Arabidopsis thaliana: one gene and its partners. The main gene of each other region encodes a partner of the protein of the gene in region 4 in a complex. Each region holds a gene or a part of one and is shown on either strand. Other genes may lie near its edges.

Region 1 (5,188 bases), on a different chromosome or scaffold from region 4:
CTTGTCCAATTGGTATGTTGCCTCGGATCATTGGATCTTCTGGACGTTTACCTCTTCTTGACAATCAGAATGCTAAGAGCATCTCAAAACAAGCACAAGGTAACAACAATGCGAAGAGAGGAGCTGAGTGTAATAGAAATCAATTGGAGAAATCGCCATGCAAGCGAGCAAGGAAGAGTGCAGGAGATTCTGAATCAAATGATGTGACATTGGAATCATACGAGGAAGAAGCTGAGATGGAAATAGAACATGCATATGAGGAAACTGAAACTGTAGCAGAAGAGAATCTGATGTGGAATGATGAAGAGGAAAGTAGAAGCTGCCTTATGATAGATGGTGAATGGAAAAGAGTAAATGATGGAGAACTCTCGGGGATGGCTTCTAGTGTTACAATTTGTGTTTGAGATTTCGACAGATGTAATCATATAATCCGACATATTTTTGAGAAAATAGTTCAGATATTTGATCAATTTTTACAGGCATAGTCGCAGACAGATAGACATTGTGACACTCAAGTAAAAGTAAATAAGTGGATTTGACAGTTACTTTTTCAACAACATCAATTGGTAAGTAAATTATTATACATGAATAGTAACGATTTGTGTTGTATTGAGTATATAGACAGAAAAGAGATGGAATAGAACACCCCAAGAAAAATGTTACAAATCTGACACCAAATCAATTATGATACTAAATTCTTCTTCTTCATTTCACAAATTTCCCCTTTCTTCTTCAAGGAATGAATTCACCAGTTTGGGCTTTTAACCTACAAAGCCAATCATTTTGTTCAACACAACTTGAAAATATAAGAAAGTAACAAAAATGTAAGCAATGATTTGTGTTAGCTGAGACTGTTCTATTTAGAAACACATCCTATCTTTGATATGTTCTTTCGACAGGTTACCCGATTTTCATTAGTTATGTATCACGGCAACTTTCTTAAGACCAGAAAAGAATCCAATACCAATACAGAAGTCGCACAGAGACACATACAATGTTCCCTTGCAAATGTTGCGTTATTTGGATTTCAGTAACTTAAAGAATACAACACAAAACTCAAGTATCTGCCTAAAAATATTATGGGTTCAGTTCCCCTAAAGTATAGTATCTGGACTATAACAGATGTATATGTTCTATGAAGGATCCCGGAATACCAAGAACACCGAAAAAATTGTACAAAAGAGACAGGACAGTACACAGATGCTTACCTAATAAGCTGTCTACAGTGAGTTGAAAAGTGCTTCTAAAGTCTCCATGACACCTACTCGAGTGCAGAATACAAAATTGGAATGTCTACAACTTTTTTAGCCAGCAACCCTTATTGCACCCACCTCATCAAGCTTTGAGCTTTTATGCTGCAACAGGTTCAATCAAGAGCTGAATCAATACAATTTATCAAAGACATATTACTAGTTCTCTAGCACCTTTGTGCAAAAAAAACATTATGGTGGAAATTTCATGTTGAGTGTTAATGAAGAACGAGAAAAATTTGAGGCCCCACTTCATTACCATTACCTTGTTTTTTTTGTGCCTCTGAACGTCATTAAGATCTTCATCTCCATCGTGTTTCCTTTTCTGAAATATAAGTGAAAAGGCTCCATAAAAACTCAATAAAATGTTCTAGAGCAGTCTCTAGATCTGCTAATTTCATGCCAAGCAGGTCAAAAAAGCAGCCTAACTCAAGAGCAACAAATACAAAACTTTCCATTAAGCTATTCTTCTTTGGAAAGACAGACACCTTCAACAAACAGACATGTTCTTTACCTTATCATGATGTTTCTTAGAATGATCACCCGAATCATGGTGGCCATTTTTGTCCTTCTTTCTGTCTCGGTCCTTGTCTTTATCTTTATCTTTGCTTCTATCTTTATGTTTGTGCTTGTGCTTCTTATGCTCTCTATCTTTGTCTTTATCCCTGTCCTTGTGTTTCTTATGTTTCCTGTCCCTATCTTTCGACTCACTTTTTGACTTAGACGGAATTGTAGGAGCTCCCTTCTCTGCCTGAAAGAAGAATAGTACCAAGGTCAATCATCTCCATAGGACACCCAGATGTAATTCACATTACTAGGGAAAGATTCTCAATTAACCAAAGAACTTGATGTTACAGGAAATAGGACATTCATTACTGAGCCAGTTTTTAAGTTCAATGTAATGGCAAATACTGTTACTCTTATGAAAAGAAGGACATTTAAAACTCAAAACACCAAGAGAGAGTGAGAAAGATCAGATTCTTACTGGGGGTAATTCAACAGGAGTCATATCATTTAGTTGGAAAGACTCCTGAAGCTCATCTATATCAAAAGGCTGGATGCGAATATTAGTCTCCCGGCTCTGTGATATGCTCTCAATAAGCTGATCTAATTGCATTCCTTCTCCTTTTCTGATCTCTGTGTCCCCAACCACATTATGAAGATAATGGGAATCTGATAAAGAAACAGGAAGAGATTTCTTGCAAAAGAATTCATGGTGTTGCACTAGTTTGAATTGAGATATAAGATCCGCAGCACCGCACAACTCTCTTGGACCTGCACTTGAAACAAACAACACATTGACCTCAAGGTGAGCCAAAGGGGAAAACAAAGGACAACGAGCTACAAAAAAAATAACTTCACGAACTGAAGAAGCTCCAAATTCGAAACCAATGTACCTCCAAATTTTAAACGTTCAGGCTCCATCTTCTCTATCGCACTCTGAATTTCTTTTGCATGATCACTGGCTCACTGCATATATATCCTACACAAGGAAACAAAAATCAGAAAAAGCATAGAGTGATAAGGAAATAATACTACTACAGAAAGCAAATTCAGCTTCGATACTATCTAAACTAACAATTCTGTAGCACAAACAATACAAAAGTTATAACTAAGCACCAGCTCATATTTCATAGTGACCAAAACTAAGAAGTAAGAAAATCTAATTTAGCATTAGATGCTATCAATTCTCAACTTTTCTGCTCCAAGCTCAAAAAAAATGAAACTAGCATCAGAAACAAAACCCTAGAAAGTTTTCGGAAGTTTGTAAAAGTAAAATTAGATACCAAGTCCATACATTTTGGATCTAGTCAACAAGAAAGTTTCATCAATTTGTTCTATTTAGGAATGAAGCTAACAAAAAAAAAATCAGACAAGCGAAGTAATCACTAGAAACGAAGATTAGACTCGATAAAAAAGCTTCAAGCAGAAGAGAAATTCGAAATTGAGGAATTTGGAATTCGAAAACGAAACAAGACAGAGCCCAATAGCAAAACCAAAATCTCAGATTCAATTGGTAGGAGAAAGAATCGAAACAATCAACATACACGTTTCTTTCGACAAGCCCAGATCTCGTTTGAGAAAGCTAGCTAACGAAAGCAGCGAAACGTGAGGGGGGAAGTGTTTGGGTCTTGGGCTTGGGTATCGAATTCCCGCCTAAAATTTTGATTTTAGCAAGTGATCGAGAAAGGACAGAGATCGAAGAAGGTTCGAGAGAGCGAAAAAGCGAGACTAGTTAGGGTTTGAGAGTCTTTTGTGTCTGATGACCAATGAGAGAGGAATTATTCTCTGTTTTCTTCCGTTGGCTTCTCTCTCAATATAATCAACAAATTACAGTCAGCCTTTTTTTATTATTATTCAAGGGCTCCGCGTGGGCTTCACGCGCTCCTTCAACACGGCCCACTTAACCAGACAAATCAAGGATCTTCCATTAGCTAAACCGTATTCGAACCGAGTAATGAATCTCTCTTTAACCGGTGGTACTCTTATCCAAACAAAAATATCCACGACTATTTATATCCGATTTAGATTGTTATCTCTTTCTATATTTTTTATTTACTTGAGTGAAAAACATGAATTGTTATTCTAAAAAACCATTATAAGACCGAAAATTATCAAAACATAAATAATGTAAGTTTTCAGTGTTTTGGGTTGGTCGGACAGGTCTAATCCGATCGAGACATGCCTAACAATATCTTCTACAATTTAAGATGAAACATACGATGAATACATACGTGTATATTTGCTGATATAACATCAGAGACAAAGTGCTTGACGAGAACAAAATGGAATAATGGTATTTTTGGGGATTTGAGTTTGTATACCTGCTCTCTACTATGTAAATGATGATTTGTCTGCTGTAAAATAAATGGGAATATAATATATAAAAACGTGATGACTGATGAGGATATATTGAGGTACATATCACATATGGTGTTTCTTGACAAATATTGGACGTAAGTCTTTGTTTTTTCTTCTATAAACTTTCAGCTTGATTTCTTAAAAACATTTGTTGCACAAGTTGTAAATACGTTTATCGAAGGTAGAAGATGCATATTGGAGAATCATATCCATATATGTATCATGTATGTAATTTAGTTCTTGTGATACTGTTTTCTTTATTCTCTTTCTTAACTCATAATAAAGTAAAATTAAAAAAAAAAAAGTAATCTTAGAAAGACTAAAAAACGAGAAGCAAATATAGATATACAACATTTATATAAAATGGAGAGGAAGAAGATTCAAGTGGTAAGTGGATTTTTTCATGTGTGTGAGTGAGTGTAAATGTGGGTGAAGAAAAAGGGAGTGAAGACAACATCATTTTCCCCAAAGAAAGCTAAGTCTTAGAATCATCACTCCAATTCCCTTTTTGGCCCCTTCTTCTCTCTTTTCTATTTCTTTCTACTTTTGACCCCCTTCACATAATTACCTTCCTCTATATGCTTTATTATCACACCCTCATTACTCTCTAAAACTAACCACTATAAGTATATTATTAACCACACTAATTACTACCACTTGACCTAGTAATCCCAGCTAAGACCTTTGGAAATGATTCAACACACAAAAAAAACTTTCGTTAAAAATTAATGATATATATATTTACAAACCTCTATCTAGTTTCTCTTCTCTTTATTTGTAGAAAGTGGTGGAGAATAAGAAAGGGAGAGCAACAAACTTTTAGAGGAAGTCATAGGTTAAAAGCCCCATAGCTTTTTCTTCCATCACTTTCATTCCTCTCTTCTCATTCTTACAGACTTTGAGAGAGAATTTATTTAAGAGATCTTGATCAGATCTTTTATACTTGCAAAAATCGATTCTAAATATATAATCTATACCTTATAGAGAAACTCTTCATATCTTGAAGATTCCTAAGAGATGGGAAATTACTACTCTAGAAGAAAATCTAGGAAACACATCACTACAGTTGCCTTGAT
Region 2 (7,954 bases), 3.5 Mb from region 4:
GGTTTACGGGTTTCTATTTTCTTGGTTTTCAAAATGAAATTTGATTTATGATGATAATTTAAACTTAAAAGATTTAAAAAATCCTAGTTTGTCAATGATGTAATTTTGAGCAAGTAATTCTCTGATGCAATATGCAGTTGGAAATGGTATATTTAGATAAGTTTGTTTAACTATCAACCATAAACCTTTTCTAATAGAAATGTATATTTCTTACCTGCAAATAAAACACAAAGTCCAATCATGACCCAACTATGAAATGGGTTTGATCCTTTATTTCCTTGTCAATCAAATAAAAAGCTAGATAACAAGTTATTATCAGCATATAGAAACACCAACAAAATAGAAATCATCCACTTTTTTTCTATTTATCTTAAGAAAATGACAAAATAGTTTGGTGCCGTAGCTAAATGGTCAGACCCATACAGAATAGGACATGCCATTTTCAGGCTCAAAAGAACAGAAAGGACAACTAAACAGAGTCTAAAACCATGGCGACGATCGAGTTGACCAAAGAAGAAAGAAAGAATGTTAAGTTATGATAAATCTAATTAATTAGCACTGAAGCTGATATTTTTATTTATCCCATGAAGCCAGCTCCAGGCATGTTAGGCTGCCCTCCACCACCACCTTGTTGTGATCTTCCAGGGGCTTGTGCAAAAGCTTGACCACCCATTACCATCTGTTGAGGCTGCTGTTGCTGCTGCATCTGATTCAGAGGCGAAGTCTGTTGCTGCATCTGATTGAGCGGCGAAGTCTGCTGCTGCATCTGATTCAGCGGCGACGCCTGCTGCTGCTGCTGATGATGGTGTTGAAGCTGTGTCAATTGATGCTGCTGCTGTTGTTGCTGCTGTTGTTGTTGTTGCTGCTGATGATGTTGGAGCTGTGACAATTGATGCTGCTGTTGCTGTTGCTGCTGGTGTTGTTGTTGTTGTTGCTGGAGTTGTGGCATCTGTTGCTGTTGGAGGTGTTGTTGTTGTTGCTGCTGCTGCTGGATCTGCTGTTGTTGTTGTTGTTGCTGGTGGAGTTGTTGTTGCTGCTGCTGTTGCTGATTTGGAATTTGTGGTTTAAACACAACCATATCCTAGGAGTAAACAAAACAACCCTCAAGAGTCACTAATGTGAAGCAAAACATATATAGACACCTTAAACTTAGTACTTCCTTACCCCTGGGAAAAGCATTCCAATCAAGCGGCAAGCCTTGTCAGAGACAGAGAGAAGAAGCGTCTGTGATGGCAACTGGATGACTGCACACTGCAATACGGAGGATGACAAAGTTATCATATACAACTCCACAAAAGCTAAGCGTGAAAATGACAATAGTATGGCACACGATTAGGCTAATCAAAACAAGGCTACATACAAGCGTAGGCATCGTTAAGTGTATGGTGAACATAGCAAGAGATTGATAGATTCACCGAGAACATGTTTACAGATGTAAGTACATATATTTTTTCAAAGATTTTCATTCTTAACATCTAATTCATCCTAATATCTAATAAACCAGTAAACACCATTCATCATTTTGTTATTAAATTTGTAGTGAAACAATAAGGAAAAGGAGACAAGTGGCATAAATTATCAACAATACTCACAAGCTTTTTATCCTGAAGTTGTCCTAAGAACCCATGTTGACTCATGGCCCGAAACACAAGGAAGTCAGCTTTGCCAACATATTGCCTGATGCAAAGTCAGGTGAAATATTTAGTGGCATGAAATCAACATCCACCCATGAGCCATTTGGAATAAGGAAGGATATAGCACGAAGATATTACTTGTTATTCATATGGTCCTGGGATATGAGACGAACAATCTGCATAGTTGGTGGCCAGTTTGCTGCCAACCTGGGGAGATGCACAAAAAGAGAAAGCAAAAATTAGTTTAGCAGCTACAATCATTTCTTAAGGAGTCGACTGCTCTCCTGACAAGGTTTAGTAAGGAAGCAGTTTTCATATTTCAATTAGTTATAAACTTACGAATCAGAGGCAGAAGCACTTCGGTAACCCTGTCAAATATAAACAAAGACGTTAGTTAATATCTACTTGGAACAATTCAACAAAGTTCTACAGAGGAAGATGTGCTTAAGCATGTGATCCCAGTAAATTCAGAAAAGGGGAAAGAAAAGTGCATAGTAAGTGCCCCTAAACACACCTCAAGTCTGGTGATAAGAACAGGCTGCCCTTGCCTTTGCCCAGATAAATTTCCCTGCATGAATTTGAAAATGTAAGTAAAAGTTAGCACAAGATCACCGTTATTTTAGACAAGATAAACTGACATTACCTCCCAGACTTTCACATATTTGGATTGTGAAGTCTGCATAGCCCCCGATGATGGCTGTGATAGCTGCATATTAGGAGCTGAGCTGTTACTGCCACCAAGTTGTTGTATTCCTGATTGCGCTTGTTGGCCAACTCCTGGAGTAGGCATCATTCCACCTGTTCCAGAGGAGACATTTCCTTGACCAAGACCACTCATCATGTTTTGGTTCATGGAAATTCCACCTTGCATCATTGCTCCAGAATGACTTCCTTGGTTCATCCCTTGCATTGGTTGTGAAACACCAAGGTTTGAAGCGACATTTGACGTTGTTTGAGGACTAAAGGCATTATTAGGACCCGGGCTTTGTCCCGTTTGTGCAGATCCCATTAGTGCACCCGAACCAGCCATTGAAGTAATTCCCTGCTGTCCAGTTGAAAACACAGTTTGTGAAGGAGGCAAAGATGTAGCCATTCCTGTTGATATCATATTTGACATATGCATTGCAACCGCACTTTGCCCAACCGATGAGGCTGCACCTGCCAGAGCTGCAGAGCTCATGACTTGTCGGACTTGAGAAAGATTATTAAGCAGATTTACATTGGCTCCACCAGGAGGACCAGTACGCAATGGTGGCGTCATTCCACTGACCACCACAGGCTTAATATCTGGTGCATTCTCGGCGTTGCTGACCATATCCTGAGAAACTGGTGATGCTGAAGATGTTTGAATCGAAGGAATTGCTTGTGTAGCAGGCCGAGCTACAGCCGGGATATGGGGAAAACTAGGAACTGGTGCCATAGAAGTTACGGTGCTAGGCTCCTGCAATTTCATTCCAAAAATCTGATTAACAGGCTTCTACTAATGTGAAGATATGCTATCTAATAAGCTGATTGAGTATACAATATTATTTCACAAATGGGATATTCATATGAACTTAACATTAAATCTAGTTGATTAACACATAAAAATTTGTAATGTCTTATCAAGCACCAGAGAATAAATTTACAATTCATTTTCGGCTAATATCTAGTAAATAATTCTTATAAAACATACAAGAGTCGGTTGCCAATAGATAGAGCTGACTCCTCCAACTGACTAAAAAGATCAAATAGACTTACAACTTTCACAGTAGCAGTTGGAACTGGTCCAACAGAAACTGGTTGCCGATTCTGAATAGGTCCATTGGCTGAAAATCATACAAAAAGAGATCTTCATATAGAGAAGCAGGATAGAATCCAAAGAAGCACAAAGAAAAATCAAGATAGTTGGACTAAGAAAAATGGATGTTGTCAGTAGAAGAACCTGATGACACAGGAGCTGGAGGTTGCCCAGTGACTGGAATAGATGGAGCAACAGTGGCCCTGTCCACTTTCACAGGGCTCTGAGTCTGTGGCAAATTTGTAGCAGAATGACTTAAGGCAGCACATGCCTCCACAAAATTCTCCGAGATCAGGACAAGATAGAATGTGTTCTTAGCCGTGTCAATTGACAAGTCCGCACTTTGTTGATTGGGCTTTCCCTGCATTTAAAACAGTATAAAACAAAGATTACACCAGTTTATAGCATTGAGAATAAAGACAGCCTTTGAAAGAGCTGTCTGACAAAAGAAAGACTTTTGATAGATGTACATCTAGTGAATAGCAAATAGACACGCAGTCTCACCGCATTGTATAGTGCTCTAATTGTTGGAAGCTGCTTTGGACATACAACAGACAAAGAAACAGAACACTGCACACCAATATGGCAGGTTAGTAATTTCCCATTAAAAGGAGTAATTATAGCTAGTTGTAATACCTGGGGGAATCAGTTAAAAAAAGTACCTTAGCAAAATATGAAGCCACTGTCTCAGCATCTGATAATCGACTCTCAGCTTGCGCATCACCATTCTCATTCCGTTCCACATTTTGCAATCGTGGACGATATACAGGTGTTGGCAATATGTGAGGATTGCTGGCTGTGATTAGGATACAGTGTCTTTTCAGATCGTTACTTGGTTGAGCTTGGCCTGAAGGAGGAGAAAACATCTGTGTCATGAAGTCAGAGAAAATTGTGAGGTTTAAGGATCGAGAAAATCGCTGACAGAAGCACCACCACATAAAATGAAGCCATGGAAAGAAAAAAGTTAATTTTATTGAGAAAGTAAATTAGTCAAAAGTAGCTTGAAAGAAAGTGGCCCAAACATATGTCTTATAGTTGTGTCACAGATGAAAAGAGATCAAGTTTCCCACCATCAATGCTTCGGCAAGCCCTTCAGCTGTGGCAACCTCATTGAAACCACCACCACCAAATTGTATGGAAGAAAGCCAATGCAAGAAAATATCAACATCCCTTGTCCAGCCACTCCGTTGTACCAAGCAAGCTAAGAAGAATGAAAGATAAGAACAACATTACTAAAACAAAAGCTAATGTAACCAGGGCCATGAGAAAGCACCCAAATAATATTTGTATTTGGATATCACAAGATGAAGCACAACACGTACCACAATATGAACCATGAGAATTGAAGATCACCAGTGATAGCTCAACAGTAGAAACAGGGTTCCTCTGCAAGTTTAGTGAATATATAAAGACTCGATCAGACACATCAAACTACCAATTTGCTCTGTTATTTTTTGTGTCGCAATGATTTGACAGATAACGAATGTATATGAGTTTGGTCAAAAACATTGATTAACTGTTTGCTCAAGAATGAAAACTTGAGTAAACTTAAAAACGAGGATAAGTCAGATATAGTACCTCTCCATTTAACTCACTGCCACAGAAAGACCTGGACAAATGCAAAGAATGCATAGACAGATTATGTAATTGAAATTTTAACATACAAAAACGCTACTTTGAAATACAATACTATGTTGAGTGGATATTAAGAATAGCCAACAATGTGATTAGTTACAAACTATACAGGCAATTATATACTAAATTCTCTGTAATCACATATTAATATCAATTTTACGTGATCGAAGTGAGAAACTACAAATTCATTGCTTTATGAATGCGTTGTATCGAAAACAATGTCCTAACACAAAAAAAGAATGTAGGAACCATAAGGTAACGTAAAGTGATTGCTCAATATGAAACACAGAACAATCAAATACATAAACACAGTACTAACAACGAACAACAAAACATTGTGGAATCAGAGGATAAACAAAGGTTTGATCTAACCAATTGAAATTAAAGCCTGATTCGAACGGTATCAGCTAAACCCTAACTCCGAATGAAAATCAAATAACGAGGATTAAAAGAGATACAAGGTTCATAAAAAGAAAAACCTGATGATTTTCTCGAGATAGTCGGAGACGATGGTTTGCCAATAAGGACCCAAAGCGGCGGTGCCTTCAGCAACGACGATCAGCTGTTTCACCTCCGACGACATAGTCTCTGAGCGTTGTTGTTACGTGAATCAAAAGAAAATTCAGTCTCTCTCCCCTTGGAATTTGGTGATTCTTCTCGAGCCTAACGATTCGCCGACGGTAATTTCTTTGGAAATTTTTATTGAAGCTCGTTCTTTGTAAATTGTAAGTTTCCTTCTTCTCCGGGAGAGGAGAAGATAAATTAGATTGACAAAATTTGGTTTGGATGCTCCGAATAGAAAATGGGATATACAAAGGACTTGGTCGTTACTATCTTTTTATTTGTGTAAATTGGGCAATGAATTTAATTTTATTTTTTTTGGTGAAGAAGTGAATTTAATTTGATTAGATTGTTTACCATCTGTGGGATAAATGCAGAGAATCTTGTGAAGAATATAATTGGTTTGGAGGTGGTTCATCGAACGCCAAAACTAACAACAAGCTTAAGGTCGATCACGTAAAAAAAAATGAAAGTAACCAATTTGATATCTTATTTTGGGCTATGTGGATAAACATTTTGTATACATAGTTGTAGTTAGTCCAGACTTGAATCAAATAAAGGCCATGATAACCATTGTGAAGGCCATTTAAGATTGGTCCAAAAGTTGGACATGGGCCGCATGGCCTTTTTATCTGTGTTTTTTTCTTTTCAGAGTGGCCTAGTGGAAAATAGGATCCAATTTCGTATGTCAGTCATCTTAGACTAGTTGATGTCAATGACTTTTTGTGGAAGAGATGAGTCATAGAAGACGGCTACAAAGCTATAGATTTTGCTGATCCCGATCGTTGTTCATATGGTAGTATTGGTAGTACTAAGGGAGGGGCAACACATTGTAAATTGCCATGCAATGCTATGGAAACGTGAGTTTGTGAGAAGTCATGAGAACCCAAAATCAACTACTTTTCACGTGGTAGTTTTTTTTTATCTAATACAATGTTGGTGGTCTTCACATCCATGGACATTATCCATAAGACCATAACTCAAAGAAACCATCACAAATGAATAATTATCATCTTCCTTAAATTGCTTCTCACTGTTTACGACCTCTCGAACAATTTGACTTTACCACAACTCAATCCATCACCTAGTTATAAGCTTTTACAATTGTCCTTAAAAATCCAAATTTAATTATTGATACACAATAGTTTCTACAGTTTGGTAACCGTAGCAGACAGTACAAAAACCTCAATCTCCAAACTATTTAGAGAAATTTTCTCAAGAATACATACTCAAAATTAGACACTTAATTCCGTTTTATAGTGTGTGTTTTTTTGTGTGTGTTTTTGTCGCCAACCAATTTAGAATCGTCAGGTATTCACGAGAATTGCTTGAATATATCACAACACAACAACACACAATGAAGCGCGTGAAAAGAGGCGAGTAGGTTGGTGTGATATGGGGCAGGTGGCTCTTCGATAGCGTGAAGGGCCAAAATTTAACAATTCATGAGGAAACGGGGGGATCTGGATATGTGTGAATGTCACTCTTCCAAAGATTCTCTCCTTCCCAATTTTTTCCAATTTAATATGTTTTTTTCCAGCTTAGTTTCTCCCCTACTCTCGAGGAATATTCCTCCACTTTTGCCAAAAACTTCTTTATCTTTTTCTTTTCTGATAAAAATGTAATTTATGATATGATACCATATAATATATTCTAAACTGTAAATTTAATGAATGTTTAAAATTTTCTGGTTACATATCTTGATTCCAATCTCTATGGATATTCTTCTTCACTCGTTTGTTATTACAAAAAAATTCATGTGTATATTTCTAAAATAGGTAGAGAATAACCGAAGAAAAAAGAAAGAGTTAGTAATGACTAAAATGACTCGTCGTTCTTATCTCAACGTCAACGTCATGAGAATGCTGACATCATCGCCAGCTCGATAGAATATGGAAAGGAAGGAATCCACATATCCCCGAATATTCTCCCTGTATCAAACAAACCTCAGCCTATTCCTATATTTACCATTCTACCCTTTCCCAAGTAAAATCCGAATAAATCTAAACATCAAGAAGATTCGGTTTTAGGTACGCGACGGCCCGACCTCGATTAGACACCAATCCTCTTTCTCTGCCCTTTAAAACTTCCAACTTAAAAACGTCAAAGTTTTATCCTTTCTCTCTCATTTTAGATCCAAAACTCTTCTCTGTCTCTCTCAAGATTTATGTTTTCGTAACTGTAACTCATAGCAAAAACGAGTCTAAGATCTGTTCATAATGATGATGTTCAAGAGCGGTGACATGGATTACACCCAGAAAATGAAGAGATGTCACGAATATGTAGAAGCTCTAGAAGAAGAACAAAAAAAGATTCAAGTCTTTCAACGTGAGCTCCCTTTATG
Region 3 (4,655 bases), about 15 Mb from region 4:
AACTGAAACTTTAGACATTTGGAGTATTTTCTTAGAATATCCAGAGATTGATGTAGACTGGTTTTTGCAGCCGGATGATCAACCATGTACTGGAGAAGTCGGTTTGTTCCCCCAGCACCTTGGGGCCACGGATAGACTTCTGAATGCAAATCACGACGAGGTTTACTTCAAGGGAATGCCCATGTATAAGGAAACAGTGAGTAGTTTTAGAACTTCTATATTTACATCTAAACAAAATTGCAAACTTACGTCAGTTAAACGATTCCTCTGTTCTGTTGCGTTCTGCAGCGACTTAGAAGACACGGTGACATTGTGAAGCGAACTGTTGGAGGATATTACAATGTTCAAGGTAGAGCTGATGATACCATGAACCTTGGAGGCATTAAGGTACTACATACATTGTATGTCTATATACCCAACTTCGATTAGAGTTGGAACTTTTCTCAAGTTTTCATCTTTTGTTTATCTGTTATAACGCAGACGAGTTCTATTGAGATCGAACGTGTGTGTGATCAAGCTGATGAGTGCATCTCTGAGACAGCTGCAGTCACCTTAACACCACCTAACGGTGGTCCAGAGTTGCTGGTCATATTCGCAGTCTTGAAAGAAGGGTTCAAGCAACAGAGTGGAGAAGAGCTAAAGATGAAATTTTCAAGAACCATTCAAAAAGATCTTAATCCTCTCTTCAAGGTAATCAATATCTTTGATGAGTTTTTCTATAAATTCAAAGTTATTATAAGATTTTTTGTGTGCTTAAAAATGGATTTTGCAAAAATATTGCAGGTGAGTTTTGTGAAGATTGTGCCGGAGTTTCCAAGAACAGCTTCTAGCAAGCTACTGAGAAGAGTCTTGAGAGATCAGATTAAGCAAGAACTACTATCCTTACGAAGTCGAATATAAAGCCTTGATCTTAAGTTTAACTAGAATAAAATAAGATCTGCTGAGTAGTAGTTGATCTACACATGATTGGGTACTGCTCGGTCCAAATAAGAAAACCGATTAAATCAAATCTACCGGTCCTTGAATTCTCTAGCCTGATTCACATTTACATGACTAAACACTTTGACTTTGTTATGTTTGTGTTTGTGTTTGGTGTATATATTTCATATCAGATTATAATCTTAATTTTCCTCAAGATTATCTTTTGTTTAAATTTGTAAAAATATTTCGGACGATACTCATACATCCCATAAGGCTTTGAGACATCTGAATAGTATCACCACGAATGACCTATGGAACCAGAAGACAACTAGCCGCACCCAACGATACAAAGATAGCGTTAAGATCATTCGAGGTCTAGCTATATCGTGGTATACAAAATCTAGAAAATATAAAGTAAAACCATAGCATTGTTTGGTTCATTTGATTGATGCAAGTCAAACAAACTCGAAAGAATGAGATCTTAATACCAAAACTTCAAAAACACTTGATATTAAACACCTTATTTGGAGGAAACTCTTTTATGATGCTTGTGGTTGGCGGTTTTTTTTTTTGAACCAGAGTGTTGTGAAAATAATGAATTGGGCCTGACTAAAACAAATTGGGCCACAGAAAAAAAAAGAATTAGTAAGAGCAACAAAAAAAAAAGAACCCTAAAGAGCGCGTTTGGATCTGGTTTTATGAAAACCACGAGAGATTTCGTGTTGAGATGATTATGATGTATTGAAGAGTTTTGATCAAAAGAGAGATATAAACCTCGCAACATCAAGAGAAGATCGAGCTAGAAATTGACAACGTCTTCCAATTCCGAGCGCTTCAAGACGATGATTTTGGGGTTATAGCCTATAATTTGAAGAAAAAAAAGGATTGAACTTGTTGTATCTATCCCCAAGTGATGTGGACTAATGTTTTCAGAATTGTAAGTCTTATTCTATCATCTTTTTCCCATTGTGTGTGAAAATTGACTTATTGGTAATACATGATGATTTTTCTTCTACAGGGTGGTCTACATAATGTTTCTTGGTTTCAGTTTCTTCCAAGTGAAACTGAGCTGAATCCTGGCTTTGATAGAAGGTTAAAGCTTTAAGCTTTTTCAATGGGTTGTTTTAGTTTTTCCTTATTGACATTGTACTAATTAGTCTGGTCACTCTGGAGTTTTTTTTTCAGTTCAAGAGCTGAGCAGAATGAAGTTGCAACATATCTTGTACTTTCCTCTCATCTACGGTTGCAGAAGGAAGGGTTTCTTACCACTTGGACCAATTCTTTTGTTGGACCTTGGGATCCATCTCAAGGTTTATACAACCCTGGTAATGCTAAATCTCAATCTGGTACTTTTAAATTTTGTAACTTTATTTACAGTTGTATCTAACCATCATTCCTCGCTGCTGCTCAGATGAAAAGATTAAGCTTTGGCTTTTTCTACCTGGGCGTCATTCATCAATATCTGATAAAGCTCAGGCTGCTGTGTCAAAGCTTAGAGGTATATTCTCCTTATGATTTATTTTCTTCATCGTATTTTGTCGCCTCAATAGATTCAAACATATTGTCTCTATTCTGATTATGACTGTTTAGTGAACATGCCTGTGGTCTATGGTTATCTTGGTATACTTGTCCTTACTTTTCTTTTTCTCCTGTTGAAAGTTGTTGCGTCAGGAATTTGGGTAGCACCTGGGGACTCTGAAGAGATATCAGTTGCCTTTTCACAGTCTTTACGTAATTGCATCGAAAGGTTAGTTTTTTATTATCTGCAGACATAATGGTTGGATTAAGGAAATAATGGATTAGAGTATCATATTAACTTGTTTGATATCGCCACAGAGCATTATCTGGAATTTCCTACATGAGATTTGGAGATGTGTTTTCAAAATTCAGCCCTCAAAGCGAAGAATATTTGAGGTATCTGCAACCTCTTACCAATATAAGCGAGACCATGCGTTATAATCTCTGATGGTTTATTAGCAAATATATCGTCTTTTTTCTCTATGGCTTTTCGATTATGTATTATCCTATAGCTTTCATTAAATAGGGTCTGTGAGACCTAGGTTTCCTGAGTGTAATTCTTAGAATCCAAAGAATTCTATGATTAGGTCTGTGGCTCGCTAATGCTCTGTGGCTCGCTAATGCTCTGTGGATATTTATGTAGGAGGGGACAGCCTACTGTTGAATTCATCTTTGCTGCTACCGAAGAGGCAGTTTTTGTCCATGTCATTATATCTGCCAAGTCCGTAAAGCTTTTTGTTATACTGTTTCAGTTATGGTTTAGTGCTTCACATAGTTATTGAAACTAACTATAATATTTTATGCACGAAGGAATGTCCGCACACTTTCAAGTGGCGATGCTGAAAGAATGTTAAGGAGTTCTTTGAAAAACTCCAGTTATAGGCTTCCAGGTTAGTTATTTTTCCATCATCATTTGGATTGATAAATTATCCTACTTGTCTACGATTTTGATGGAACTAGTTCTAGATGTTTGTTGACCTCTTCTTGCTTTGTACTGTTAGAATACTGTATAGATTGAGAGCATTTTGAACTCAATTTTCAATGCATCCACTCCAAAAAGAAACCTAGTGTAGTCTAGTGCTACTGCTACCTAGCTTCATCAAGCAAAGATTTAACACCTCATTTTTTTGCATGTCACAAGAGCTTTTCGTAAATGTTTGGGATTGGCCAAGAGTGAGGATAATAGATTATGCTACATGTAATTCTATGAAGCCAAACTTTTTGAATTGATACCTGAAATGAAATCCGCCTTCTACACATGCTTAAAGAAAGATAAGAGCTTTTTATTTGATAGAAACACTTCTCACAGGCCTATGTTATTCCCACCAGTTATTGTTTCTCCTCATGGAATGCGGGGCAGCCTTACTGGATTCTGTCCCAATGACCTTGTCAAGCAAGTCTACTTCAGGTACATTTCATACCTTTGCTTTCGAATGCCAAGTCAACATTTTTTGTGAGTGCGTAGCCGTTAATCTGATTAATCCAATTTTCTCAACTAATACTTTTTTCTCACACAGTTCTGGAAACTTAAAAACTTCGACTGGATATGTTGGTCTCCCTTCTCATATTGGTCGTGGGTCCCGTCTGATAAATGGCAATCATTGCTACGTGGAAGTTACACTTGGTTGCTGCCAAAATAGAAATGACAACACAAGTCAAGCTAATTCGACCTTTGCAGTTAACTTGCCCCATAACCAGTGTCCTGAACCTTCAGTTGGGAGTAAAGATCACCGTAAAGGACAATCAGATCTTTCATCAGTTTGTGAAAAAAAGTTCATCTATCCAGCTGAGGCAGTGCTTGTACCAATCTTACAGTCGGCATTTGCGAAATTTTCTTTGAAAAGGTAAATTGACTAGGTGAGGTGGTTATTTAGAATTCATTGAGTACTTAACGGTAAGATCCAGATTGGCTATACATAAAATTTATTTCGTTTCTGTTGAATTCCATGTATGTATTAAAACAAATTGACTCTGTGTGATCGTAGTGGAAGTTTTAGTAATTGTTTCAGACCCATGTTAAATAGATGTAATAGTTGTGATCTTTCCTCAGCTTGGAGCTGATGCAAGGTGAAATCATACTTGCAGATTTTGGCTTCAAAACTGGATAGGCCCGTCACTAGCAGGCTCATCTTTGTTTATGCACTGGTGAGTCTTTTTCATCTATCTCGTCGACATTTGAAGATCAAAAGAAATCCACAAAACAGAGGTCTTGAAAT
Region 4 (3,986 bases):
AATCGATAGCTTCTCAAGTCCCATGGTTTTCGATTACAGTTTCAAGGATGAGAAACTTTACGCTCAAGATACTTATTTTGAAGATATCAAATGGGATTCAATGTTTCAGAATCTCAAACCTACTTAGAAAAATCTCTAAGTTCTGTTTTATGTTTTCTCTTTCAGCTTCTTCTTCGTTCTTTATATCAGAATTGATGGTGAGAGATGAGGTTTTAGGGTTCTTCCACCATGTTTTCTTGATTTTGTCTTTGTATGTGATTAGGCTAGTTAATTTTTGTTAGTTAACAATTGGAAAATAGAGTTGAGTGGTGGTGTCAGGTGTGTATGTGAGTGTGTGGGGTCATTGTAATGAGTCTGTCTCTCCAGTCTTTGCTTTTGGCCTAAGTCTCTGTTCCAGTCAAAACTTCTTTACAGCTTTTATCACTTTTTACTCTTTTCTCAAAAAATGCTCTGTTTACACACATAACCATGACGCTAAGCCTGCCGGAGTGATCTTACTCTTGAGGTAATCGGAAAGATCTTGAGCTCAGGACACTACACAGTCTACACTAGAGCACACAAAACATTGTGCTTCCAAATTTTATCTGTTGTGTGTGTGTCAATTTTCAGATATACCTAAGGGAAGTGTAACTGAAAACCATACCTCAGTTCTTGGCTTCTTGCCACCACAAGTCACAGTAGATTCCATATCTGATGTTACCAAACCAGCAAAATGCTTGTAGCTATTACCAACGCTTTCCTCCCAATGAAGCAACACTTGATGGCATTGGGGTTGTCTGACGCTTCCTTTTCATGGTCGCCATCTTGCGTCATGAAGTTTCTTTCTTGGAGATGGCACTTAGTCATTGCAACCAAGTCCACACCAAATGAAGCTCTTGAACCTTTGCCTGGTACTGAACCAGCAATCCTATCAACCATGCTTACAACAGATCTAATATCACATACTGCAGACGAAAGCGCTTGTGGTGAGATGGATTTCATCTGAAAACAACAGAAAGCAAACATCAAGATCAGAACAATGTTTCCACGGCAAATGAGGGATGGCAGCAATGACACTGCCCTGTTGCAATATACCCTTCAAAATTAGTAACGTTACTTACGGCTCTAATAAGGCGTTCAATAGGCAGCTCAGTAGCACTCGATTTTCCACAAGTACTTGTCAAAGGATTTATAATATTTCCATCAGGACTGGTAAGCTCCGGAAGGAGAGGAGAGGCAGAGATCCCTGGAGTGCCAATTTCAAGGGATTGAAGTACACCTTGCCTGATCTGTTGTACCCTTGACCCAGCACCCTGCATGCTCATTGATTGCATCTGCAGAGTTGTTTGGTCATCATGAGACTGATCTTGAACTGTCTGAGATAGTGGTTGCTGCATAGGCTGAATCTCAGATTTCGTAAGCTGCAGTTTCTGTACTGTCTTCCTCAGACTCTGCATATTTAAGAAATTCATAATGTTGTTCTTGCGATAATCCATACTATCCTTCAAGTCAGGTTTGATATTGCTCTTTGAAAGAGATAGGAAACGTAGCATTCCCTCCAACACTGTCTTGCCTCGTTTCAATTTCTCAAACTGATCTGATCTTTGTTTCTGATGCGAAAGAGAATCCTCCTAGAGAGAAAACGGAACGTATTCAGTAGAAAAGAAACAAACATATAGATGAACGTTAAAAGTTTACAACCTCTGTAGGTTTGGGAAGGAATATATCTGTCAGAAGGTTAACTTCTAGTGAACTATCTGTAAGTATAAGAGTCTGACGAACCTTTTACTTTGTTAAATGGGTAACAAGAATCCTAAGTTGTAGGACTTTCATTTGTAACAATGAACTGATCTTGCATTGAATTTGTAAAACTCTTCATAAAGTACTTAGTACTGTTCCAGAGGACGTACACGTGCAAACTAACTTCCTAGGAAGAATGAAAACTGTAACTTACTTGCTGCAACTTGGCTGCTACTCTCTGGTAGATTTCATTGAGGTCTCTTTGATGGATTTGATCTACAAAGAAAAGCAATATAATCATACATACGATTACTCATCATGGTGATATCATCTAGTAACAGAGAGATGATCCTGCTAGTAACAAAGGAATAATCTGGTTGTCGTAGTAATCTTTCAAGTAAGGCATGACATTGCTTCTTTGAAACAGATAGGAATTGTATCATTCTTCGCTCCAACATTGCCTTCAATCTCTCAAATTGCTTTAATCTCTGTTGATGGGTAAAAGAATTCTGCATGAATTCAATAAGAAACCAAACCCTACCCTACTAGTTGACGGAACACTAAAGCACCCACCAAAAACACACCTAATCTCCGAGAAATTAACATTTACAAAAAAAAAAAGGGTCTTTATTCATTTTTCGATCATAACTTGATAGGAGGAGCCTGGTAGAAACAGAGCACCGGAGTCAACAACATTGAGGATGAGAGTTCAAAACACATCAGAAGAGAGAAGACCAACATAAAAAGAGAGAGAGACAAAATATCTACAATGCATTTCCTTGATTATTATGAGACTGATCTTGAAGCTGCCTTTGCTGTACTGTCTTCCCAGCCGGTTCTTAGCGTAATTAAGAAATATATAATCCGTTTCTCATAATAGTCCCATCTACAATCCTTTAATATCGGCATGATATTTCTCTTTCGAAGAGATAGGACTTGGATCAATTGCTCTATGTTTGTCTTCATGCTTTGGAACTTGTCAAAGTGCTTTGATCTTTGTTGCTGCGGAAGCGATTCCTCCTGAAAAAAACAAACAAACTAGTATTACTACATCTATACAACTTAAGGCAGAGAGTTAATAGTTGACAGTAACTACATCTTACATGGTTCAACTTGTCTGCAAGTCTCTGGTAAACATCAGTCACATGTGGTAGATAACGCTCTCTCATGGATCTAAGCTGTATAAACAATTACACACCACAATGAATGATCCCGATGATGATTTAAGAAAGGAGTTTTATTATTATGATGATTATGACTTATGAGTTACCTTTTGGAAAACCTCCTCCCGCCAATCATCTCCATTTTCATTTTCCATTGTATCTACTATCTAGTGTTGCTAGCCAAGAAAAATAATTAAAAAGCGAGATTCATTCATCATCAGAAACTGTGTAAAAAAAAATACAAAAACCTAAAATTAGAGGTACACAAGTATCATCAATCCATAAAACTAGTTTCTTATGCAAAAGGTTTTGCTATCGACGAATCCATGGGTTTACTATGACACGTAATGAGATAGGTGACTCAAAATAAGGACCTTTTGGCGATGAATCTCCGAGACTTAGAACGGTCCGTTTGGATTTGGTTTTTCTCCAAACGTTCTTACGTTTCAATCTTTCTTTTAATAAGTGAAACGTAGCAATTAGGGTTAAGGAGAAGAATTAGAGATGATTGTTTTTGTTTTAATCATCTTTTGATTTTATAGAGAAACAAACAAGAGAGAGCTAAATACAAGGATTAAAAGGCTTCAACAACATTACAATATCAGGTTATTAAGCGAGGCCCAATGACCCAATAATAAGTACTTATCAGGCCCAAGTCTCTTCTGCAAATAATAAGTTTTTTGGAGTTTTTTTAAGTTTTCTATTTCACACAGTAAAGGCTAAAAATCGAGTAAAGAGACTTGTAGAAAAACCAGTGAAATCTCCGGCTATTTGTGTGACCAAAATGTTAATTATAGTCATTAACTAAATAAATCTCGTTCATGTACTAATTTGTATAGACAATTACACACCACACTGATCACTCCTTGTATCTTCTAACTTGATGACTTTATGATGATAAATCATCAATAATTACAATAAAAAAGTTAGCCATTTGGTATATACAAAAAAAAAAAAATGTTTCAAACAGCCATTTTATTGTGACAACTGAACAGAGTAAAGAAGTTGAAACTCTTCTGAACGATCTCAAAATGCGTATTACAACAAATCTCAAAATACAACATTCAGCAAGACCCCAAAAAAGGGGTAATTGCACTTCAGAAT

The links.
Region 1: AT1G15770 (region 4) and MED19A share a complex: the UniProt entries of both Arabidopsis thaliana proteins name them as parts of the mediator complex.
Region 2: AT1G15770 (region 4) and PFT1 share a complex: the UniProt entries of both Arabidopsis thaliana proteins name them as parts of the mediator complex.
Region 3: AT1G15770 (region 4) and GCT share a complex: the UniProt entries of both Arabidopsis thaliana proteins name them as parts of the mediator complex.

Annotation. Positions count from the first base shown.
Region 1 is NC_003076.8:3,952,611-3,957,798, forward strand, and holds MED19A (mediator of RNA polymerase II transcription subunit 19a-like protein), read right to left. Parts: upstream 3,576-5,188; 5' UTR 3,299-3,575; intron 2,734-3,298; 5' UTR 2,676-2,733; coding exon 2,648-2,675; intron 2,526-2,647; coding exon 2,236-2,525; intron 2,002-2,235; coding exon 1,765-2,001; intron 1,576-1,764; coding exon 1,516-1,575; intron 1,356-1,515; coding exon 1,305-1,355; 3' UTR 1,209-1,304; intron 767-1,208; 3' UTR 530-766; downstream 1-529. Other genes in the region: AT5G12220 (las1-like family protein), read left to right, coding at 1-404; CLE22 (CLAVATA3/ESR-RELATED 22), read left to right, coding at 5,130-5,188. UniProt on the Arabidopsis thaliana protein: Component of the Mediator complex, a coactivator involved in the regulated transcription of nearly all RNA polymerase II-dependent genes.
Region 2 is NC_003070.9:8,968,815-8,976,768, forward strand, and holds PFT1 (phytochrome and flowering time regulatory protein (PFT1)), read right to left. Parts: upstream 6,002-7,954; 5' UTR 5,633-6,001; coding exon 5,529-5,632; intron 5,024-5,528; coding exon 4,993-5,023; intron 4,801-4,992; coding exon 4,737-4,800; intron 4,616-4,736; coding exon 4,485-4,615; intron 4,281-4,484; coding exon 4,077-4,280; intron 3,985-4,076; coding exon 3,919-3,984; intron 3,776-3,918; coding exon 3,559-3,775; intron 3,443-3,558; coding exon 3,375-3,442; intron 3,076-3,374; coding exon 2,278-3,075; intron 2,203-2,277; coding exon 2,149-2,202; intron 2,003-2,148; coding exon 1,974-2,002; intron 1,842-1,973; coding exon 1,773-1,841; intron 1,678-1,772; coding exon 1,593-1,677; intron 1,252-1,592; coding exon 1,165-1,251; intron 1,082-1,164; coding exon 578-1,081; 3' UTR 251-577; downstream 1-250. Other genes in the region: AT1G25550 (myb-like transcription factor family protein), read left to right, coding at 7,830-7,954. UniProt on the Arabidopsis thaliana protein: Component of the Mediator complex, a coactivator involved in the regulated transcription of nearly all RNA polymerase II-dependent genes.
Region 3 is NC_003070.9:20,635,760-20,640,414, forward strand, and holds the start of GCT (RNA polymerase II transcription mediator), read left to right. Parts: upstream 1-1,620; 5' UTR 1,621-1,834; coding exon 1,835-1,858; intron 1,859-1,939; coding exon 1,940-2,013; intron 2,014-2,106; coding exon 2,107-2,246; intron 2,247-2,332; coding exon 2,333-2,419; intron 2,420-2,580; coding exon 2,581-2,668; intron 2,669-2,757; coding exon 2,758-2,835; intron 2,836-3,082; coding exon 3,083-3,160; intron 3,161-3,249; coding exon 3,250-3,329; intron 3,330-3,582; coding exon of another isoform or gene 3,583-3,637; intron 3,638-3,733; coding exon of another isoform or gene 3,734-3,768; coding exon 3,769-3,847; intron 3,848-3,956; coding exon 3,957-4,283; intron 4,284-4,524; coding exon 4,525-4,584; intron 4,585-4,655. Other genes in the region: AAE18 (acyl-activating enzyme 18), read left to right, coding at 71-196, 289-387, 481-690, 784-900. UniProt on the Arabidopsis thaliana protein: Component of the Mediator complex, a coactivator involved in the regulated transcription of nearly all RNA polymerase II-dependent genes.
Region 4 is NC_003070.9:5,426,196-5,430,181, forward strand, and holds AT1G15770 (mediator of RNA polymerase II transcription subunit), read right to left. Parts: upstream 2,086-3,986; 5' UTR 2,021-2,085; coding exon 1,934-2,020; intron 1,611-1,933; coding exon 1,101-1,610; intron 982-1,100; coding exon 697-981; 3' UTR 513-696; downstream 1-512. Other genes in the region: AT1G15760 (Sterile alpha motif (SAM) domain-containing protein), read left to right, coding at 1-127; AT1G15772 (mediator of RNA polymerase II transcription subunit), read right to left, coding at 2,506-2,739, 2,823-2,897, 2,990-3,037. UniProt on the Arabidopsis thaliana protein: Component of the Mediator complex, a coactivator involved in the regulated transcription of nearly all RNA polymerase II-dependent genes.